Linked DNA regions of Mytilus edulis. The protein of the gene in region 2 interacts with the protein of the main gene of each other region in a biochemical or structural test. Links are inferred from orthologs where the notes say so. Each region holds a gene or a part of one and is shown on either strand. Other genes may lie near its edges. The genes, in order: checkpoint protein HUS1-like and flap endonuclease 1-like.

Region 1 (12,174 bases), on a different chromosome or scaffold from region 2:
TTTGCTCATTGTTGAAGGCTGTACAGTGACCTATAGTTGTTAATTTCTGTGTTATTTGATTTCTTGTGAAGAGTTGTCGTATTGGCAATCATTCCACATCTTCTTTTTTTAAACTTAATCAGTAAATTTGTATCCCTTTATGCTTCAATGGCCATTATAATTCAGCTGAATAGAAAAGTTTATTAGATATAAGAAGATGTGGTATTAGTGTCAATGAGACAACTCTCCATCCAAGTCACAATTTGTAAAAATATACCATTCAAGTTGCGTTTATAGTCCCTATTCTGTTTGCTTTGCTCATTTGCCAAGCTATTATTTTCAGTCAATATACATGTTATCTTGAAATAATAACTTACAACAGTTTGTTCTGATTGGTTCCTAGTTGTGTTCTAAAGATGAAATTGGCTTGAATGAGTTGTAAAATTGTGAAAACAAAAATTATATTCCTATATTTACCATGTGATTACTTAGATTCTTCATTTTATCTATCATATTCTTCAGTAACTTCATCTGCGGCATAGCTATACTGACCTGTGGAAAAAGAGAACACTTGTAAGATGGAAGTCTTTTTTTCAAACTAAAATTCATGGCATAAACAAACGTCTGATCTAAATGAAACGAAAGAATTCATTTCTATACCATTTTGTTTTTCATGACCTATACAAAATACCATATTAGCCATTAACCATGTTAATCTTTCAGAATAAGACTTGAATGGCAAATATATGACTGTTACCCTGATGTGTACTTCCTCACAAAATTTGAGACATCCCCACACAGTATACAATGCTAACATGAAGTTTGAAACTGATTTTCAAGAAAGCTTTGATTTATTGGGGCAGAGATAAGTGTGACAAATGTTTCAAGAAACAGAGAAACTGACCGAAACATGTAAGTACAGATGTAAACCTCTGTTTGGGATTGTGGGTCTATAATATATAAACGGTTGTAGTCACCACCGGGTTCTCAGCATTTAACACATGAATAAAATCTGAACAATGAATTCTCACATCAAAGTGTGGAAGTTCTGGTTCTTCATAGTCTTCCCATAATCTTCTGGGTATAACAGAAACTGGAACATCATGGACTACTGTTCTGCTGTGGGAACTGAGGGTTGGCTAAAAATACAATAATAGTTTGTATGATATTTTTACTAGTTTTTTTTTGTTTTTTTTACATGTATTTATCACTTCGTTGTTGTGGTTGTTTTTGTCTTTCAACATTGTATTTACCCTTTATCAATATTTATTATTTTTTAAAATACACATATTTTTCTTATAGTTTTTTTCTTCCTTTTTTTGTCTTTCAACAATATGTTTTATACCTTTCATTCCTGTTTATTGATTTATCTAAATAACCTATAGTGAACAAGAATGTGTCCCCAGTACACGAATGCCCCACTCGCACTATCATTTTCCATGTTCAGTGGACTGTGAAATTGGGGTAAACCCTCTAATTTGGCATTAAAATTAAAAAGATCATATCATAGGGAACATGTATACTAAGTTTGAAGTCGATTGGACTTCAACTTCATCAAAAACTACCTAGACCAAAAACTTTAACCTGAAGTGGGACAGACGGACGAACGAACAGACGCACAGACCAGAAAACATAATGCCCCTCTACTATCGTAGGTGGGGCATAAAAATACTGTACAAGTCATTTGAAATTCTTGAGTTGATAATTGATACTTTTTTGTCTTTTGTCCACCTACCTGATCAATTTCAAAAGTAAGACAAGGGACATGTTTTTTTGTCAATTTAATCTTGATCCACTTGGCATTGCTAGCTGTTTTTAGAGCTTTAACAATATTATCTGGAGCAACCTCTAAGTAAATCTCATTAGCCTCCTTAGAAACTCCTTCCATTGCATATTCATCAAAGAAATGACCCTGAGGAAATAAATAAATAAATAAGTAATTATTTGTAAGGACACTGGCAACAATATTAGGTAATACATTTTTAAAAGACATAGTACATTTCGACCCTTAAAATAGAGTTTCAATAAAAAAACAATTACCATTCAGAATTGGCTTTGCTCATTGTTGAAGGCAATAAGGTGAACCATAGTTGGTCACTTGATGGTTGTCTCATTAGCAGTCATGCCACATCCGCTTAACTTCTTATATAAAACTTGATATTTTACTTGACTTATATTGTATCAACTTAAACAAACTAAATTGAATTGTAATACAATGATGAAGCCACTGTACTGTCTAATTAATGTAATGTTTACCCAACAACAGTTTGCATTCATATCAATATCACTATAATTTTTAAACTTAACATGCTCAAAAGGGTCTCGGAAATGCAAATATGACATGTATAAAGAGCTTGGACTTGACAAAAAAAAAACTTACATCATTTTCAATTTTTGCAGATTTTAGCAAAATGTAGACTTATGTCAATGTATGTTAGGAATATGTTGGATAAAAGAGCATTGAGCAAAAGCTCAAATTTTAGTGTCAATGTCATAATTATCTGAACCAACAATACCTCTTCTCTTGGAATAACTCTTTAAATACAGTTGTGCTCCACATTTTTTTTTTTATAGCATGAGAGTTTAAAACAGTACAGATTTTGTTTAATTTTGCCATTTTATTATGTTTACAGAAGTGTCTGCCATTTATACTGTAAAACCTACTTGAAGGAAGCACAATGTATGTAAACCTTTAATGGAATACTCAATGTTATGATAGAATATGCTTTTACTACATTTTATGATGTTTAATCTGGTCTGAACTTATTTTGAAATAGTTTGAAAATACATTTTGTAATTGCACTTCATTTAATGTTCAGAAAAAAATAGCTTTTCACCACCTAAATATACTGGTAGAAATTTTACCTGAGGTAGTTCACACCAGATCTGGATTCCTCCATTAGCCAACTTTTCAGCAAGTATAAAATACCAGTTACCAGGGGTTATTCTCAAGACACAACTTTTAATTAGTTTTGAGAGAGTTCCTATTACTCCTGAAAATTAAAATGTTTCATACTAAAATAATGATCATGATGATAATAAATAATAATCACATCTACATGTATGCTTCTAAGAAATTGTGAATAAACTGCATTTACACAAAAGGTTTCATAGAATTTCCAAACAATGTGTATTTTAACAAACAACCTGCAGTCCCATGGGAACCAACTGTGCACCTCTTCACGCTGAATTGTAATTTTATTCATCATGTTCATATAATGCTGACTTCAAACAGAAACTTCTAACACAGAAAGAAAGAAGTTTATAATAGCAGTATCCTTAACTTTTCTTTACACTATATAGATGTTGTTCTCTCATGGATCATTGAATGACATTTATTGATATTATTAGAAATTATTAAGATAATAGTGATTGCGTATTTTACAAATGTCCATTTCCATATTGTGTAATTTATTTACCATGACTTGACAATAAAATTTGCTATCATTCGGTAGTGTCAAGTCCCGTCAAAATATATGTTCCTGGTTTGACATTTGTCAAGTTGTACATATTGTAGTGTTGTTAATGTCCCAAATATAGAAACAGAAAACACGTCAAAATGTATTATTTTTGTGACGGGATTGATTCCCTTGGTAAATGAGGTTGAAACTCAAGTCAGCGTAAGTGGTTGAGCTCAGGAAGTACTTCTTTAGGTCATTCAGTATAGGCGTGGTCTTGTTACACTTATAATCGGACGAAGTCCCCTATAACAGTAGAATAATCAATAAAAAAAAAAAAGAAAAAAAAGGGAAAATCTCGCGAAATTTTTACTATACTACAAATGTACTCATGAACTTAAAATCTTTAATTTTTTTTGTCACTTTTTTTAATTCCCCCATTTGCGCAGAACGCAGAAATCTACTTCCTTCTTCCAGTCTTGTTGTCATGTGACTTTGAGTAGTCTAGTAAAATATAGGAACTCAAGGAACACAATACCAATGTCTTTGATATGAATAAACGTTAACTGATGATCACGTTTCGTTGTTTACATTAAACGTGACGTCATAACTTAAATAACGTCACAAGTAAAATCCCTAACAACAGAACCAAAATCGGAAACGTTACGGTATTTCCATTTCTTTTTAACAGATTTTGAAGTAATAAAAAAAAAAATAATTCATACAGACTTCATATAGGTAATGCCTGCCTCATATTAGGCGAGGAATAAACAGTTACAGAGGTGATTGTTAAGAGTCCCAGGGAAATTAATGCTTTTTGGTATTCAATGGTATTAGTAGTAATCAATCCTGTGAAATTGAAACTGATGAAATATGAATAATACCAAACCATATATGACGCATAAAAACATATGATGTACTTATACATATGACACGATGATAACAAAACAATATACCTATATTCAGCTCACAGGCACTAGTTTCTATCCATGGGAAGACCTAGTCCAAATAATTATGACGTCTTGAGTAAGGCGTCAAAGAAAAAATTATAATAGCCTTTCAAGATTTTAAGACTAGGGAAGACCCACTATTTATTTACGAGTTGTCTTCCCATTGATAGAAACAAGTGCCTGTGATTCAGCTGCACATTTGGTGCCATATATAGGATATGTTATTTAAATCTTGATTGAATAAAAAAATATGCAAATGGACTTGCTCGTGAAATGGTGAATACATCCTATATCAACGATTTTCCCTCTAAACTTCATTTTGCTATGTTTAACTAGAACTGTGACATATTTCCCGCCATTCTTACTTTCGTTTTGATGCTTACCGAGTTTGTTTTTATTTTAGACAGCTAGATTTTAAACGTAATGCTGATTCAGTCGCAAGCGCCAAAATGACCATGTAAACAAAATTTTGTGTGGCAAGTTTCAACTTATATTTTTAAAATGTCAAGACAGCCGAGTCCTACCAGAGATAAACGTGTTATCAATTTAGCATCTGAGGTAGCAGAGACACGAGACAGACGTATCCCAATTTTGCTTCTGAGGCTGAAAGGTTATTATAGTCATTCAATTTTGATTTGAACAAGACCAGTCATGCTCAAATATATTACACAAAGATTTAAACCTACATATAGATATAAAAAAAAAATCATTATCATAATCTTCCTCGAAATGAAGATAAATATTAATGTTATTGACTGGGAAATAAGAATATAAAAAGACTATCCTTACTTCATTTTTTTTTGTACTTACATGTATCTGCTTATGATCTGTCTCAGTGTCCATATCTGTACTTGTGTATATGGAAACAAGACATTTCCACCATGGACCCAGTTCACAATTGGTCGATTCCAGTTTAAACGTTTCAGCCATGTACCAATTCTGGCATATGTAAAAATAGTCCGAGATTACTCTGATGTCCAACGGCTGTTTTGCCAGACAAGCTGGGGCCGTGGGACGTCAGAGCTGGTCCCATATCAAAAAGTGGATATTTGCCCACTCAAAATAGATGCGCTGCTTCGTCGCTTCTGATGCCGACTGACGGCCTTGGAATTATATAAATCGGACATCAATCTGTTCATTTTTCATTTATCTCTTCATTTATGTAAGTTTCACCTACCTGCCAACCTTTATTTTTCCATATTTTAACAGTTTTCACAGTGACCCATCGATTTCGGCATTTTGCCTCTCATGTTCAAAGATAATCACGTGACCACGAGAAAACAGTGATGATTTATGCAAATGACCATAATTAATGTAACACCTCTTCAATTACGATGCAAGTTATCTAAATATCCGAGAGCTTCCGATTGTAACATGGTCGGAACTAAATGCGTCATACCGATCTCCTGTAAAGGAGGTGAAAAATCGTGGTTGGCTACTAATGTTAAACATCGATATTTGCATATTTTGAGTCTCGAGACCACGAACTCTCTCATAACTTGACGTCCATTTGAAAGTGAAAGTCAAAATGCCGAAATCGATGGGTCACTGTGAAAACTGTTAAAATATGGAAAAATAAAGGTTGGCAGGTAGGTGAAACTTACATAAATGAAGAGATAAATGAAAAATGAACAGATTGATGTCCGATTTATATAATTCCAAGGCCGTCAGTCGGCATCAGAAGCGACGAAGCAGCGCATCTATTTTTGGTGGGCAAATATCCACTTTTTGATATGGGACGAGCTCTGACGTCCCACGGCCCCAGCTTGTCTGGCAAAACAGCCGTTGGACGTCAGAGTAATCTCGGACTAGTATAAAAAAAGTAGTTTCAGCCATGATTTCATTTTATACTTATACACTGTCTTACACCATAAACAATCATTGTATACATGTACATGTAAATAGAACAATTTGTGTTCTACACATTGGAAACGTTTGGCCCCTTTTTGGCAATAAGTCCTTTTGGCCTTGTCATTTTGGTCCATCATACAAATATGTTTTTCCCCCTAAAAGGTGGCCAAACATCTCAAAAGTGTAGAACACAAAATTAGCTAAAAATTAACATTTTATCATGTATATGTGTATATTTCAAATTTTATTTTATTAGAAATCCTCAGCACAGCTGTAGCTGGAAGCAAAGATGGTATGAGAATTAGGAAAGAAATATGGGAATACAATCTGTTGCAAGCCCTGGTTTTAGTTTTGAAACAAGACTTTTCCATTGTGGATGGAGAATGGCAAATTGCCGCTTCACTGGCTGCTATACTCAGGTATTAATCATTGTTAACTTTATGTAATGAATTCCATCAACTGTTTTCTGATAAAATTGAAAATGGAAATTTGGAAAGTGTTGAAGAGGTAAAAACCTGACCTAAGAGCAGAAAACAGCCCAAGGCCACCAATGAGTCTTCAGTGCAGCAGGAAAATCTATCATCTGGTCCCAGAGTTGTTAATCAAATATATATGTCATTTGGTCTCGGGTAGAGTGTTTTATCATTTGCAATCATACCATATCTTCTTATTTTTATATGAGTCACATGCGTACAAATTATGCTTTAGTTTATAGTAACTAAGGCTTATTTCATTACATATATGATAAATAAATATAAACAAAAAACAACATTTACCCTTGTCACATATTGAGCTAGCTGTTCAGTGTAGTTATATGTACTAATATTGGTGTCAGATTTACTGTTCTGAAGTTTACTTTTATCAAGGAATAGATAATGTTTAAGCAATTTTCTAAATTTAATTTATAATTCACTTTTTCATAATTAACCATTTTTAGTCAAGTGTGTGCAGGCCTAGATCTTCCTAGTGCAGAAGTAAAGAAGTTTGAGGATGAGGTGCTACTTGAAGCTGTCAGCAATATGTTCTTAGTGACCAGGCGTATACAAGCAAGATATGCCAAGATTCCAGACAGAGCTGTAAGTATTGCATCTACGCTAGCCAAGGGTTACGATCCACTCCCTTTCTCTTCACCCTTGGCGGATTGAGCCAACATTTGTGAAAACAATGTTGTGCCATCTATCGGATGATTAAAGTCATTCCCATTCCGAATACATTATTCTTGACCAATGGTAGCACTTGAACTCTTCAATTTGGAGGTAAAAACACGGTAGCGTGTAGATTCTACTCACTTGATAAAGCCAGAAACAATAATATACGTCAACATTCATTCATTTGTGCATGAAACATACACATGAACTTAATCTACAAATTGATTAAAAACATTCAAGTTGTCACTAAATATAGTCGTATGTTTATAGAATGTAAAGACTTGTTGCACAATAAACACGTGGCAATTGTTTACAAACACTATCTACATTTACACGTGATCATGTTATAGGCGCTTTTTCCACTGCAACCAATAAAAATCCTTACCTTGTGTCTCTGAAATTTTATCTCAATCCGCCAAGGGTGAAGAGAAAGGGAGTGGATCGTAACCCTTGGCTAGCGAAGATGTAAGTATTATAAATTCTGAAATTATTGTGTGCATTTATTATTGTGATTTTATTATTTTATACTTACCGGTAAATGCAATTTTAATTTTTAAGATATTGAGAAAAATCCTGTTTAATTCATATAAAATATTTCAAAATGCAAGTTTTAATTATTGCGTTTACAACTATGTCACATTTTTTGCAATAATACAAACCCCTCAATAATTTCTGAATTTTCAGTAACATATTCTTATTGAACAATCATAATTCAGGGTTCTCACTAAGGCAAGTTCATGAGTCCTCGACTCATGAAAATCTGTCTGGACTCACCATTTTCAAAACTGGTGAGTCCAAAAATGCATCAAGAATGAAATATTTTGTTTAAACTGTACACATACATGTATATCATCATTATATAGCAAAAGTTTAAAAGTAATCTGAAATGAATGTCATTGAATTGCTCTATCAGGTCATATAGCAATATCCTCATGTTACTGTTGGACTTTTCAAGGGAAAATTGACAAGTCCCTTGAATTGCCTTAAAAAAATCTTAGTGAGAACCCTGTCATATGTAAACCAAATGAATTATTTGTTCTTAGTGACCAATCATATACAAGTAAGATATGTCAAGATTCCAGACAGAGCTGTGAGTATATCCTAAGTGACCCCAGATAAATGGTAGATCTGATAAATTAAACGTCATGGTTACTAGCTATAGTTGCATACTGGTTCGATAGATATTTTTCATGGCAACTTATATTTAATTTGGAATACAAGACATATAATACTTGGTGAGCAGACTGTACTTTTTTTTAATAGTTACAAATGTATGATTATGATAAATGGTAGAGATTTGCTGTTCTTGAAGTGGAATCTTAAGACTCCTTTTTTTATATTTGTAGGGTCACATGAAGGAAAGAAATAAATTACTTGCATGTTACAGAGGTGTATTGGAATCTATTGTATATTTAGCCTCAGGTCACACGAGTGTGCCAAAAAAAGGTAAATCTAAGAACTTAAGGAAATAAGATTGAGTGTATAGTCATATTAAACAATATTGAATTTGAATGCAGTAAGATCGAACGTTTTCTGTTCAATTAGACTTTAATGGACATTTTTTTTCTAATGCAATCCTTATGTAACAGTTTTTTCATTGGCTGAACTTTACTGTCAAATTCACAATGGGCCTCTTTACGGTAAGTTCAGCTATATTGGATAGGGGGCAGATTTTTTTGAAAGAGGGGTTACAGTATGAAAGTATATGGGAAATCTTATGCAAGTTTCCAAGCAAATGCTCTGTTTATACGATTTTCCCCGTATTTTTCACACCATTTTTACTTTCATTAGGAAAATCTGCCCCTTATCCAATATGGCCGGCTGCCGAACTAGCCGTGATGAGACCTGTTGACATGTCTGGTTCACCGTAATGAATTGCTGGAATCCACAAATGTTTAATTAATACAATGTAATAGAACATATTACAACACCTTAGTACCTTAAAAACACAATTTTCATGAGACATACATTGTATCCAAATCTTAGTCATACAAGTTAAGGGTTTGAAAGTTTTCATTTGAATGACATAATAGTAGATAGATAGATAATTTTATTAACCAATCATGGTGCCCAAAATTTGAGCCATACAATCAAATGAATTACAAAATAAAGCACAGAAAATGATTAGAATGTACCAAAGGCACTCATGAAGTTTTTTGTTATTTATATTTTCATGAAATTAAATATTCACCAATATGTAAGTTTTCCTTAATCCACAAAAATTGGTATATGTAACCCATGAAAATAAATTAATCCACAGTAAACCTTATTTAGATTTACATGTACTATTACTGTTTTATCATTTAATAATTATATATTTATTTATGTGTGCTGTTATCATTGAAGAATAATATTTATTTTAACTGTTTCTATATTGCAGTATTGGAATGTCCATGGTTATTACAATTACTGATCACAGATGACACCGACACAGTTGTAGCTATAATGGATCTCATTCCAAAAATACTCAGGGTTAACAGGTAACTGTAACTAATGATCTAAGGGATCGTAGACTTATTCTTGAGAGGAAGCTCCTAGCATGCTCGGAGGATGCTCAGAGTTTTTTATGTAGGCTATTCTCAGCAGTTTATGTGACAATAATTATCATGATAAATTTAGATGTCAATCAAACCAGTAGCACTTCCATAATAAGGAAAGTAAAGCATTTTAGAGCAAACTCAACTAACACCTGAGTAAACATCTGGCCTATTCAAATAAATTTTGCTTGAAATTTTACAAAACTGTAGAATAGATTAAAACTCTGTGAAAACAAATTTGAAAAAAAAAAGATTGTTTATTCATCCACTCTTAATGCTTGTAAATCTTATGACCTTTAAGTGATATTTTTTTCTAGCTATCATCTTGTATCTGTTTCTGGTATAATATTAACCATTGTAAAAGGCAAGAAAGTGATATAATGATAGCAAAAAATGTTTGATAAGGTGTAGAAAACCTCACAAATCCCTTACTGAAGGAAGTTCAGTTAAAAGGCACTGACATTTAAATTACCGGTACCATTTAATCAAAGCCTTTGTAAATAACTCACTATAACTTATTAAAAAATGAAAAAAATAACAAAGAAACAATACAAATTATTTTTATTGTTTCTTTGTTATTTTTTTCATTTTTTAATATAATTTCAAATATTAATTATGCCAAATCAATTTGTAAATGTTTGTATTTTTCAGAATTGTTCTAAGAAGCTTGAACCAGAAGTTAATTCTCAGTATAATGGATGAATTAATTTATAAACTGTCTGTTAGTAATGAAGTTAGTGTTGGAGCGTAAGTAACCATTCTAATGCAACAACGTTTGTAACGTTCATTTTGATTGGATAACGTCACTTTTTTACATGGCATCAATTGACAATTGACAATTGATGCTATGGCATAGATGCCAACCATTACGATTTTTCCGTAGTTTTTCCGATTTTGCGATAAAAACTACGCTATTACGGTCAAAGTCGAATAGTTACGGATTCCCAATCATCGACGTTCAATTTTGTAAAACGCGGATTTTTATCATTACTTTTCCGTCCTGGTCCAGTATTTAGGAAACGCCAATGTAATGCTTCCGGTTTCTCGGGAGTTATCAACCTATTGTTGGGTAACTAACTGACTTCCGAAGAGGCAAACATTTTATTAAGTAGCTTTCCCCCTTTCTCTACTTCTCCTTGACAAAACAAAAATGTTTGAGTCGAGAACATCTGAACAATTAATGAATGGAATACATACTACAGACAACATGTTAAATGACAAATTTTAGTGTGCATCACTTTGTAACCACTCGTCAGTAATTTTTATTGGTAAATGCACGTTTATGAATGATTACTGAAAACTTTTCAAAAATACGGAAAATTTGATAGTTTGTTACTGATTGTGTCAAAAGGGGGTTGGCATCTATGCTATGGGACATACGCTCAAGCGCAGACGACATATTGCAGATTTTAATTACATGTTTTAACGTTGTTTTCTGTCAGTTTCATTAGAATTGAGATAACAATATTGTATTTTAAGCTCTGTTGCCAGTAAACTTAATTTGCGACCATCAAATCCCCAATTGATGCCGTCGGAGCTTAAAATACAATACAGTTTTCTCCTAAATATCATGATGTACTATATGATATCAAAAAGAAGTAATATGCTAACAAATGATTTAGATGTACTACTGAGCATTCATTATCATTCCTTGGATACCAATTTTCATGGATTTTGTGGTTATAGGGCTAGGTTACCACGAAATTAAACGTTCAACGAATGACTAATGTTCCATTGGCTTGTATGCAGACTTCCTTAAAAACCACAAAATTAAATATCCACCGACAAGTAAGTTTTCCATAATCCACAAAAATTGGTACCCATGAAAATCCTTGAATCCTCAGCATATTACTGAAAAAAGACAAAAGTGTTATGCTTGCTCTTTCTGACAGTCATTAGTATTTAGATCTGACCAAGTAATCATATGCTGACATGTATACTTTGACTATTAATGACGTTAAAATACTAAATCCCTGTGATGTGTTTTAGTCGATTTTAGTCTCTGATGCATGATTTTTTATTATTAATTGGTTTTGGCTTTTAACTAGCTGTCAGTAACTGCGAGTACTCTCAAATCGTATTTTCTTGTTAATTCGACCTGTTGATACTGTTTATAATGCTTTTTTGTTATTTTTTATTTATATGGATCTTGTCTGTACACCAGCTTTGATTATTTGTAATATCTTCAATTTTTCACTTATTCTTACAACATTTGTATAAACTTCAAGATTATAAAAAAAACGTTTTTTTTCTAAAGTGAACATTGATTGGTTAAATATTTCTCAGTCATGTCCTGTGTTTGAATTTGTTT
Region 2 (11,604 bases):
CTCATTTGATATGTTTGAATGGTTTTAAAAATGTCAATTCATGTAATTGGGTTGCATGATAGAATCAACCAGGCAACCCCCCCAAAATATTATACATTTTTAGAATTATTCATATATATAAATATCAAATATTATTGGATGCCAAATTGACTTTAGATAGGTGCCGATTTGACTATATGCCGATTTAACCCGGTACCAATTAGAATTTTTCTATGGGTGCCGATTTGACTTGTACTCATGTAGATTTAGATGCATACATGTAATTGAAATTCCCCCCTCTCTCCCCCCCCCCCCCCTTTTTTAATGCAGTTGAATGTCAGAATTTTCAATAATTACATACTTTCAATGCAATTTAATTGAAAAGAATACAACCTGGAATATTTGAGATTAAACGAATCTTTCCCACAGATGTCATTCAAGGTTCGAAATTCAAACCACATGGCCTGTTCTGTGACAGTAATCTGATTTTTCAGATCCTGTATTGTCGTACCAGTGGATTGTGTGCATTCTAAACTTTTTATCCATACTATATCTATAAATATTTGTTCCGTAAATACCTCATCTTCGCTAGAAGAACTTTCTGGTGCTAGATGTAAAGAATCATTCTCTTCGATTGTAGCAATAAATCCAAGTTTTCGGAGTTCAGCCATATTTTTAATGCAACTGGTAAAGCCTAAGACCGAATATCTAACAAAAGAGAGCGCACCGCAACCTGTTACCTGTTACCTGTTACCTAATCTGTAAGTTCCGCCTCTGTCAGGCGCACCACCATACGGTGTAACTTGGGAGTTGCTATATACAGGGGCTCAATCACACCTTAACTACATGATTTATTATGGGCTTCATCATGAATTTTATATTAACCAGGTATATACAAATAGTAACCATAAATGGGAAGTTAATATATACTTTAATGGGAAGTTAATATATATTTTAATGGGAATTTAAATTTACTTTAAATCATGGGAAATTTAATATATAAACTTTAAGGTAAATATGTACATGACTCCACTCCTGGCTTATTCATACTTCTACTTGCACAGTTCAAAACAGTTCTTCACATGGAATTAATCACAGTTTCAAGATTATTGTCAATTGAATAATGATGATAACTAGGTTATTTGAAGTAGCGAAGCTCTTCTTTGATGTAGTCTATAACAATAACCTCTAGATACACATTCAATATTAGAGATGTTGGATTCGTCTAGGAATTCAAAGGATGAACAGTCAATAATAACTTTGAGTTGTAAGTCTTCTGATGATAATATTTCATTATACACTTCCATATCAACACAGTCATATAACTTTACTAGTATAATATTTAGGAAATGTTCCTGTATGTCTCTCAATTTTTCACAATATAGAAGGAAATGTTTAATGTCCTCACTTCCTTTGCCACATAATTTACATGCTGAATTAGTTCCACCAGATCTGTCGAACTTAGCTCTGTCATGCTGTAAGGTATAAGTTCCACACATGATTTTTGCTTTTATGCTGGCCATAGTTGAAGTAAACGGCTCTGTTCCACAGCTATCCCAGACATTGTGGGTTTTTCCTTGAGTGATATTATTGACATTTAAAAACTTTAGAGATGACTTTGATTTTACAGCAGATTTTAGAAGATCAATCCAATACGAAGAGATAGATTTTCTTACAATATTTTTCCACTCGATTTTCCCCGGAGGCACATTAATAAGATCATGTGGTGATGGTAAGCCATACTGTTCTGTTAAGTCAATAATTTTGACAAACCAACTATTTGAATCCCTTGGCATTACAGCCAGTTGTCTTATAGCAACATCACGCTCGACAGAACCATGGTTTCTGATGATATTTCCGAAAAAATTCAGCATACGCTTATGCAATTCAGCCTCAACTGGAATTTGACCGAGAAGTAAGTAGACAGCACTAGTGGAAGTGCGCTCTGGCAAATGCTGGATCTGCTTTAAAAGCTTGGTGTAATATACGGAGAGTAATTTCATATCGGAGACAGAAAGTATTATGGAGTCTAATCCATACAAAAGTCTGGGTAGCACATAAATTTTCACCAGGTGCATAGAGACTTTAGGGTTAAGTCCATTCAAACCATGGAGCCCAGCTCCCATGAGGGCATACACTGTTTTCCTAGCTGTCTGAATTCTATTAGGTACACAATCTTTCACACCATATTTAGAATTGACATCATGATCTATACCAAGATGAGTCGCTTTAACAGAATTTTGAAGAGGTTGACCATTCAGTGTAAATAAATGTTCAGTTTTACTTCCATATTGTAGAGTACATGACTTCTGGCTACTAATTATGTAGCGATGTTTATTTATATAATCAGACAAGACATTTAACATTGTTTGCATCTCATACGGGTTGTTGGAAATCAGAGTAACATCGTCGGCAACAGTGGGTATTCCACAGTAAATAGAACCCAAGTGAGCACCAAGACCATTCATTTCAAATGGTTTCAGTAGTGTGTTTATGAAAACCTTATAGGCAGTGGGGGACCAAACTCCACCCTGGCGAACACCCTGGAATTCGTGAACTGGTTTTGATTTGATACTTTGCCACATTACAGAGGACTCCAAGTTCTTATACCACTCATTGAATAGTAACCAATTGTCACCGGTCATTCCACCTTTATACATCTCTCTCATTAGCCCAGAGTGCCACACAATATCAAAAGCTTTTTGAGCATCACTAAACGTTATAATTAATTGTTTTTTTAATTTTTTTTTAACACAAAATTGACTATTGACTAATCTATTGTTCATTGGCACTTTGACTGCAAATACCCCAAGAAATCGATTCCAAATGAGATTACTATAACGCAATACATAAAGATATATATGCCTTGTTAATCGAAGATGAACACTATGACAAACTAATCAATGCCAGCTATCGCTTCCTATATATATTTGACTAAGGCAGCAACCATTTGATTTTCTAGGGGGGGGGGGGGGCTATGGTTTTTTTTGGAAAAAAAAGTTTGTTTCCTGCTTTTGGAGAAAATAATAAATTTGTTTTTGACCCTGAGAAATATTTTTTTTGTTTCACCCTCAGCTGCCACTATATGTAATCATGTAATGTCCAGGAAAAAAATCCATATCCCCCCCCCCCCGAAAATCAAATGGTTGCTGCCTAAATCCATTGGATGTTGGGTGTGTAATGATTAATATTTTAGTCTTAAACATATTGTGTTTTATTAGTTTTTATTGACATTGAACTAGCGTTCAGTAACTGCGACACCAAGTACACTCATATAATGTTCAAGTTCAAGCTATAACAGTTTAATCTGTATATTGTAAATATCAAAGTAAAGCATTACATATGTCTTCATTTAAATGCCATAATTTTGAACTCATGCATTTTCATATATTTGTTTAGTATTGTTTAGTATACAATCTGTCGATACCTGTATCTTGGCATTGCACAAGGTCATGTTTTTCTATGACTGTTTGTGATGTCTTTACACTGAATCCATTGGATGTTGGATGTGTGCGGATTGAAAATTATGTCTTAGATGCATGCTTTTTTTATTAGTTGTTAGTGGCTTTGAACTAGCTGTCCGATAACTGCGAGTACTCTCAGATCTGTTCCTAGTGTCTTTTGTTGGTGGGATGTACAAGTACCCGGCCACGTCCACTGTATTTTTGTCCATCTGATGAGTTAAGCCTTTTTCAACTAATTTTATAGTTCGTTCTTATGTTGTACTGTTATACCACTGTCCCAAGTTAGGGGGAGTTTTCGGATCCCGCTAACATGTTTAACCCCGCCACATTATATTACCTACGCTGTATTTGGCAAAACGTTTAGGAATTTTGGTCATGCTCTTCAACTTCGTACTTTATTTGACATTTTGAACTTTTTGGGATTCGAGCGTCACTGATGAGTCTCTTGTAGACGAAACGCGCGTATGGCGTATATTCTAAATACAGTCCTGGTATCTATGATGATATACATGTATATGTATATATGTGCCTGTCCCAAGTCAGGAGCCTGTAATTCAGTGGTTGTCGAATTGTTTTACATTGTCATTTCGGAGCTTTTTATGAGGTGACTATGCGGTATTGGCTTGATGATATAAGTGTTTAACGACATTGACTGGTTTTTCAGCCCTCGCACGGTCGGTAATGTCTTTGTTCATTGTTAAAGGCCGTACGGTGACCTATAGTAGTTAATTTCTGTGTCATTTTGATCTCTTGTGGACAGTTGTCTCATTGGCAAACGAGAAAACTAACGGCCTTATATATATATATGTTTTGGTAGTTTGCAAGTTACATGTATATGCTATTTGCTTAAAGTTAATTTTTGGTGCTGCTTTTTATTATTTATTGCATGCTGCATGCCTTATTTTATTTGTTATTGCATATGTTTTTATATTCGGTGAAAAACTCATTAGAGCTTATGTTTGTATTGTTTGTCAATATGCCGAATCCAAATAAAGTTTTACTTACTTACTTACTTACTTATGTACAAAAAATGAACGAAAAACAAATATGTAACACATAAACAAACGACAACCACTGAATTACAGGCTCTTGACTTGGAACAGGCACATACATAAATAATATGGCGGGGTTAAACATGTTAGCGGGATCCGAACCCTCCCCCTAACCTGGGACAGTGGTATAACAGTACAACATAAGAACGAACTATAAAAATCAGTTGAAAAAGGCTTAACTCATCAGATGGACAAAAATACAAGTGGACGTGGCCGGGTACTTATACATCCAGACACAAAAAGACACAATGTACAGATCTGAGAGTACTCGCAGTTATCGGACAGCTAGTTCAAAGCCACTAACAACTAATAAAAAAATCATGCATCTTCTTTTTTATATCTAAGACTAAGCTATCAATCCGTACACATCCAACATCCAATGGATTTAGTGTAAAGACGTCATAAACAGCTAGAGAAAAACATGACCTTGTGCAATGTCAAGTTACAGGTATTGACAGATTGCAGATTCTTGAATATGAATATGTATATGTATATAAAAGAGGGACGAAAGATACCAAAGGGACAGTCAAACTCATAAATCTAAAACAAACTGACAACGCCATGGCTAAAAATAAAAAAGACAAACAGAAAAACAATAGTACACACGACACAACATAGAAAACTAAAGAATAAACAACACGAACCCCACCAAAAACTAGGGGTAACATACTAGTAATATTTAGTTAGCTTTTAATTTTCTGATAACAAAATCAATATTTATACCAATAAAAACAATATTCAATGATCTTATTACAGTGTTGAATAGGTAACCTTTTAGAATAAGTTTATTTAAAGGAGCGACAAGTTTACATGGATCATTTCTAAATTTCCGGGCACGGTTAACAACACTGATTTCCGTAAAAATGAGGATGTGCAAACTTCAAAACCAAATCTTTATATTTATGGAAAAATTTAGTAAAGGTTTTAAGTAATTTATGGTAACGATATCCCGGGTTTAATAATTTACCAGTAATACATAGATTGCGTTCGTTAATATAAAAAACGTCACAATATAAATGGGCATAGCGAACGAGCTGTGAAATATAAACACCGTAAGATGGTGTCAAAGGAACATCACATCTTAGAATGGAAAATTAACAATAGATTTTTCTTGTCGTAAATTTTAGTGTGGAGTTTCCCGTTTAAAACCGAAATATCTAAATCCAGCAAAGGACAGATATTACCGTATACATTTAATTTATTCAAAGTAAGTTCCTTGGGGTAAATTTCAGCTGTATATTGAGAACATTCTTGATTATTAACTCTTTTAGATAAACAGCTGCTGTTTTATGGAATAGTTTACCTGATGATTTTAGAGAATTGCTTATTTTAGCCAATTTAAATATGTTTTAAAGGGTCCTACTAAAAAAGCGCCCGGGAGCGCCCGAGTAAAGACAAAGCGCCCGGGGAAAAGAAAAAAGCGCCCGGGGAAAATATATAGATTTTTTATTGGTATGAGACAACTTTGTGCCGATGAAATAAGTAATGCACATTGTTCTTTTTTTAAATTTTTGACAAGTATTTTGCAAATTCAAATAATAGACATTTGAAATAAAACAATTTTAACAATACTATAATTTTTTATGAATACTATTTCGAAAGACAGGTAATAATGGATCATTGTATGCTAAAAATTTATAAAATGTTAGACATCAAAATACATGTTTTGCAAAAACGATATCAAAATGAAAAATGCAAAAACACAGATAAATATTGTAAAAGTGCAACAACACTTTAGATGTAGCATCGTAGGTATCCCCTTTTATATTAAGGACAAAACAAGCAATGATTATTTTTTTATTCAGGAAAACATTTTTTATTATAAAATATTATTATTTTATTCTCCCGGGCGCTTTTTTTCTTTCCCGGACGCTTTTTCTTTTCCCGGGCGCTTCCGGGCGCTTTTTAGTAGGAAGTCATGGAATGGAAATGGCTGTAATTGCACAGTTTGTGCAGATTTTTATTTAATATATGATGCTAAAATTATTTACCATTTAGACATGTTAGATCGGCATACCCTATTTGGGGATATTGTATGCTGCCGTTTATTTTACCAGCATTTAATGATGCCTAGTTTACACTTATATGCTTTTAGCTTTAATACCTAGCTTTTTATGCTTATATTCTGCTTATTATTAATATACATGTTTTTAGTGCTTCATTTTGTGCTGTCACGGTAATTTATTGCCTGTGTGTGTTGTATTGATATAAATGTCTTGTATGTCGGTTAAAATATAAAAAAAGAAGAGACTGTATGTTGCAAATGAGCTCATAAGAGCTCATTAGAGCTTATGTTGTCTCTGCTTGTATACTTTGCCGACTCTAAATAAAGCTTATTTATTATTAATTATTTATGCAGAACGTTGTGTTGTTATATTTTGATAAACTTTTTGTTGGTCAACAGATATACTGTACAAATTTCCAGCAATATCATTTTAGCCAAAAAATCGAATATATTTCTTCATTCAAAATTGTTTTATTTTTATCAAATAATTATACTGCATTCCCATGTTGAATATAAAAGAATCAGACAACAAGTTTTAACATTGGTTTTTATTCGTAAATATTTAGAAAGAACTGGTTCCCGTAAATCATTGTTTTTGTTTATTTGGCGGGAAAGCTGCTAACTCATCACTTATTTTTAATCATGGGAATTTTAGGATTGACAAAATTGCTTGGTGATCATGCTCCTGGCTGTATGAAAGAACAAGAGATAAAGAATTATTTTGGTGCGATTCATTTAAAAAAAGTATTAACTATTTGTTGACCAGAGACCAGTGTTGTTGAGCTAGATTTAATTGCCCCCTCCCCTTAAATCTATTTATTTTCAATCTGCCATATACCTTATCGCTTTTTATTCCAATCCAGGTAAGATCTCAAATTATACAACATTTTCATATAGGTGGAACTATCTGGAGCCATGTTTAAGCAATATGTAAAGCATCTACATCTACATTTACATTGTTAATATGCAAGGCAGTGTCTCTGCTTACTTGAGAGGGGTACGAATAGTCAAATTGCCATTTGTAAGCTTCGCGTTCCTACATCCGGTTTTATAATAGAATGCCATCAAAATGGGAATGAAACGTGAAATATAAATGGAAATCCCCATACTATCGATAGTTTCCGTATATATTTCATGTTTCATTCCCAATCCAATGCCATTTTATTATAAAACCAGATTCGGGTAATCGTAGCCTATATACGGCAATTTGACTATTTGTGGGTATGCGCAGACTGCAAAAAGACTAAGGGTCTAAGACCCACCACCCAAGTACTAATTAATTCATTCAATATGGTGCTCATTAAAAACATGCAGGTCTGTTCACAATACGTTTTATCCGTTATACATCCAGTAGAAGTCAGATGGGGAATGAGTGCACCAGACCTTTAACGGATGAATAATGGACAGGTGAGGGATTCAAAACTGGCACAGAACGGACGAGTACCGTGTAAAACGGACACCTGCAGGATGTACATCGGACACTGCATCAGTTGAACATTCTCAAAATTTTCCAAAAAAGAGGATGGACATCAATGGATAAAATGGACCTTGAACAGACATGGAACGGAAATGAACAATAATGAACAGACATCGTAACAGATAAAAAACGGATGTCTAATTGATATGAACGGTTTGAAAGAACGTTATTGGTTCGGCGACTGTTCACGCTCTCCGTTAAGGTGTGACCTGGACTTAATGCAAATACTTTTCAAATAGGCAGTCACAATAAATTATAAACACTTCAAGCAAATAAAATTTAGAATGGAAATGGAGATTTAACAAAGACTTTGAATGATTTTAAGAAGACTTTGAATGGCGAGAATTGGAACCCGTATAAATTTATATGTTTATGTTAATTGTTGAGCTGTGCACACCTGAATAAGTTCTATTTTTATAAATATAAGATATATTAATATATTATAATGTGATCATTTTCGATGAGAAATTGCATTGCTACATTCCAAGATCAGGGGTCAGTAGAAGCCATTGGCTTATTTTAAGGACCCGAAGATATAGGTATAAAGGTATAAAGCAGTCTGGCTTTAGCTGGCGTCTTTTTATATGCTCATTAAGGGGACATTATGGTATACCATTGTCCGTCAGTCCCTCCGTCGCCAACATGTCAAACATTAACTCCAAAACGCTCTAACCAATTTTGACAGTTCTTTAAATGTGCAATAATTTTTGTAATGCCTTTAAGATCAAGTTAATTTGGAATAAACAGAATGGCTTTATATTGCTATCAGCTCTTTGTTTATCAAAACATGGAATTTTTGTCACGTCTCTTCACTTGTAGATGTTAACACAGTACATGTTTTTGTTTTATTTTAAAATATACTTCATGTTTTTACCTGCAATAGCTCTTTGGAAAGTTATTTCATCTAACTCTGAACACCTGTTTGTTTTGTAGGAAGAAAAGTTGCTATTGATGCCTCCATGTGTATCTACCAGTTTCTTATAGCTGTCCGACAAGATGGCAGCCAGTTGATGAATGAAGATGGTGAAACAACAAGGTTAGTTTCTATAGATGGAAATAAATTTTAAATATTATTCCTTAATAAGGGTATTCATGCCTACGGAATTGAATCAAAACTTAAATTGGACTCCGGGTGCTGGAGTTTCTTGCTGCATCATGTGCATTGAAGACCCATTTGTGGCCTTCTGCAGTTTTCTGCTCTATGGTTGGGTTGTTGTCTGAGACTCTCTTTGACACATTCCCCATTTCCATTCTCAATTTTATTCTATACTACTAAAGGAAGTGACCGATTTACTGGAGCTGCTACTCCATCAAAACCATACAAAATCGGAAATATTTGTAGGCATGATATGTAGTGTTTTGTACTTTCTAAATTTGTCATTGAAACAATACTTTTTTCCACAGAAAATGACAACTCTTGAGAAATATTAAAAAATCGGAGACTGTTATCCATCTGTGTCTTATAAGCTTTTGCGCATGACAGTTGACATACACCCAGGGAAATTTAAATCTCTTTGTTTCAACACTTGCCAAATTGTACCACGATTTTGCGGACATCTTCTAGTAGTAGTGTGTGTTTTATCACATGAGTTGTGAATCTCCTTACAAAAGCTGTCATATTTACAATTGTGAACATTAGGATGTACATGTGTATCAGGCAATCAATTTCTTTGTTTTTGATACAAGTTCAATTGATTTTTCTCATTATGAATTAAAAACATACACTACAGCTCAGGTGGAGTTTGCTTTGTCCATCCGTCCACAGTGGACATCAGATAAGCATTTGTTATCAATATTTTTACAAAAACAGTGATTATAGCTGGAGTGGGCACGGGTGGGCTTCCCATTGTGGGCAGGTGGAAAAAACAAAATCCACACTGGTTGTTGTGTAGATGAAACAATTTATTAGTTGTTTTCAGGATGATAAATATTTGTGAGTAAATTTCAAAATTTGCCTTAATCATTGTTAATTTAAAAAAAGAATGAAAATTCAGGCTACAATTTCTCAGATTTTATATAAAAAATATTAGAATATGTTTTTTTTCAATTACAGTCATCTGATGGGTATGTTCTACAGGTCAATCAGAATGTTAGAACATGGCATAAAACCTGTCTATGTATTTGATGGCAAACCTCCAGACATGAAGTCAGGGGAGGTTAGTCAGTATAATATTTATATATTTGATATTGTTTATTTATAAGTTATGACATTTAAATTAAGAGAGAATTCATTGTTTACGAAATAAAATTTTGCAAAAATATGCATTGGATAGATACCAAGTTTTACAATTATTTATAATAAGAATTGTTTGGTATGATTGCCAATGAAACAACTCTCCACAATTTACCAAATGTCGAAATGACATAGAAATGAAGAAATATGGGTCACTGTATCACCTTCAACAATGAGCATATCTCATTCTTAATTCTTTTGATATATATGGAAGTAGAAATTACAAGAGGCCAGGGTACGCCCATGCTTAAAGGAAAACACTATTTTTTTATGTGAATTGTAAAAAGTAAAGTAAATTATATTTAAGAATTCAAAAATCAAAAACACAATTTGCTTTGCAAACTGTTAAAAACCGCATGATGAGCTGTTGTTTTCCTTGGTCTTTGGTGTATAGTTGTCTCATTAACATTACTTTATATATACATAGTTCTGTGTAAAGTACTAATCTTAAATTATACTACTGAAGCTTATACCTTGTTAAAATGTATATGCATGTTGCTTTACAGTTAGAAAAGAGGAAAGAAAGAAGAGAGGAAGCACAGAAAGCATTAGAGAAAGCAGAGGAAGCAGGTAATACTAGTTAAATCTAAGTAATATAATCACAAAAAGTTTCATAGAATGTAAAAACTTAGAGAAAAATATTATAAGTATCATTAATGTAGCAAACCAGTTTTTCTTTTAAGATCATTGTTGTATTCCTTCATTAATACACACCAATCTAACATTGTTTTTAGTTTGTACTAGTTACAATAAGTCCTTTGCTTTGAGATATATTTTTAATAATTGTCATTTTATAGTTGTTGAAAATTGTGAAAGAATAATATTTTTCTTTCATCAGTTCTATTTGACTACATTTGTTATTTTTGTATATATATATGCATGATGTAAACATTATGTTGAGGGTCCAGCTGAACCTCACCTCCAGGTGCAGGATTTTTGCTGTGTTAAAGACCCATGGTTGGCCTTGGGCTGTTTTCTGACGTTTGGTTGAGTTGTTGTCTCTGTGACACATTCCTAATTTCCATTCTCAATTTCTTTAACTTTATAATTATATTTGTTTAAAAAAAAGACTTCTTTATATGTAAATCAATTATTCATTTAACAAAGGTTAATACAATTTACAGGAGATGAAGAAAACATAGAAAAATTCAATCGTCGTCTGGTGAAAGTTTCAAAGCAGCATAATGAAGAATGTAAAGAACTGTTGAAGTTGATGGGAGTCCCATTTATAGAGGTAGAGTTAATATAAGATCAATGTAAATACTATATAGAGAGATAAGTCCTGCATTATTTGCATATAAGTTATAAAAGTGTTTATAATTGACAGCTCTAAAGTACTTTGTGATCAGATTATTCGAATTAATCAATTGGAACTTTCCAGCAGATACCCAACA

The links.
Region 1: the proteins of flap endonuclease 1-like (region 2) and checkpoint protein HUS1-like form a complex in vitro, tested with the Homo sapiens proteins (2 studies listed by BioGRID). The link is inferred for Mytilus edulis from reciprocal best matches to the Homo sapiens genes FEN1 and HUS1.

What each region holds. Positions count from the first base shown.
Region 1 is NC_092345.1:33,785,364-33,797,537, reverse strand, and holds the start of checkpoint protein HUS1-like, read right to left. Parts: upstream 4,707-12,174; 5' UTR 4,646-4,706; coding exon 4,594-4,645; intron 2,973-4,593; coding exon 2,845-2,972; intron 1,892-2,844; coding exon 1,715-1,891; intron 1,119-1,714; coding exon 1,011-1,118; intron 532-1,010; coding exon 457-531; intron 1-456. Other genes in the region: IQ calmodulin-binding motif-containing protein 1-like, read left to right, coding at 4,829-4,937, 6,435-6,597, 7,116-7,254, 8,673-8,772, 9,707-9,806, 10,515-10,610. UniProt on the Homo sapiens protein: Component of the 9-1-1 cell-cycle checkpoint response complex that plays a major role in DNA repair. The 9-1-1 complex is recruited to DNA lesion upon damage by the RAD17-replication factor C (RFC) clamp loader complex.
Region 2 is NC_092348.1:96,436,406-96,448,009, forward strand, and holds the start of flap endonuclease 1-like, read left to right. Parts: upstream 1-7,071; 5' UTR 7,072-7,142; coding exon 7,143-7,224; intron 7,225-8,910; coding exon 8,911-9,013; intron 9,014-10,030; coding exon 10,031-10,133; intron 10,134-10,716; coding exon 10,717-10,780; intron 10,781-11,334; coding exon 11,335-11,444; intron 11,445-11,604. Other genes in the region: probable ATP-dependent RNA helicase DDX27, read right to left, coding at 558-650. UniProt on the Homo sapiens protein: Structure-specific nuclease with 5'-flap endonuclease and 5'-3' exonuclease activities involved in DNA replication and repair.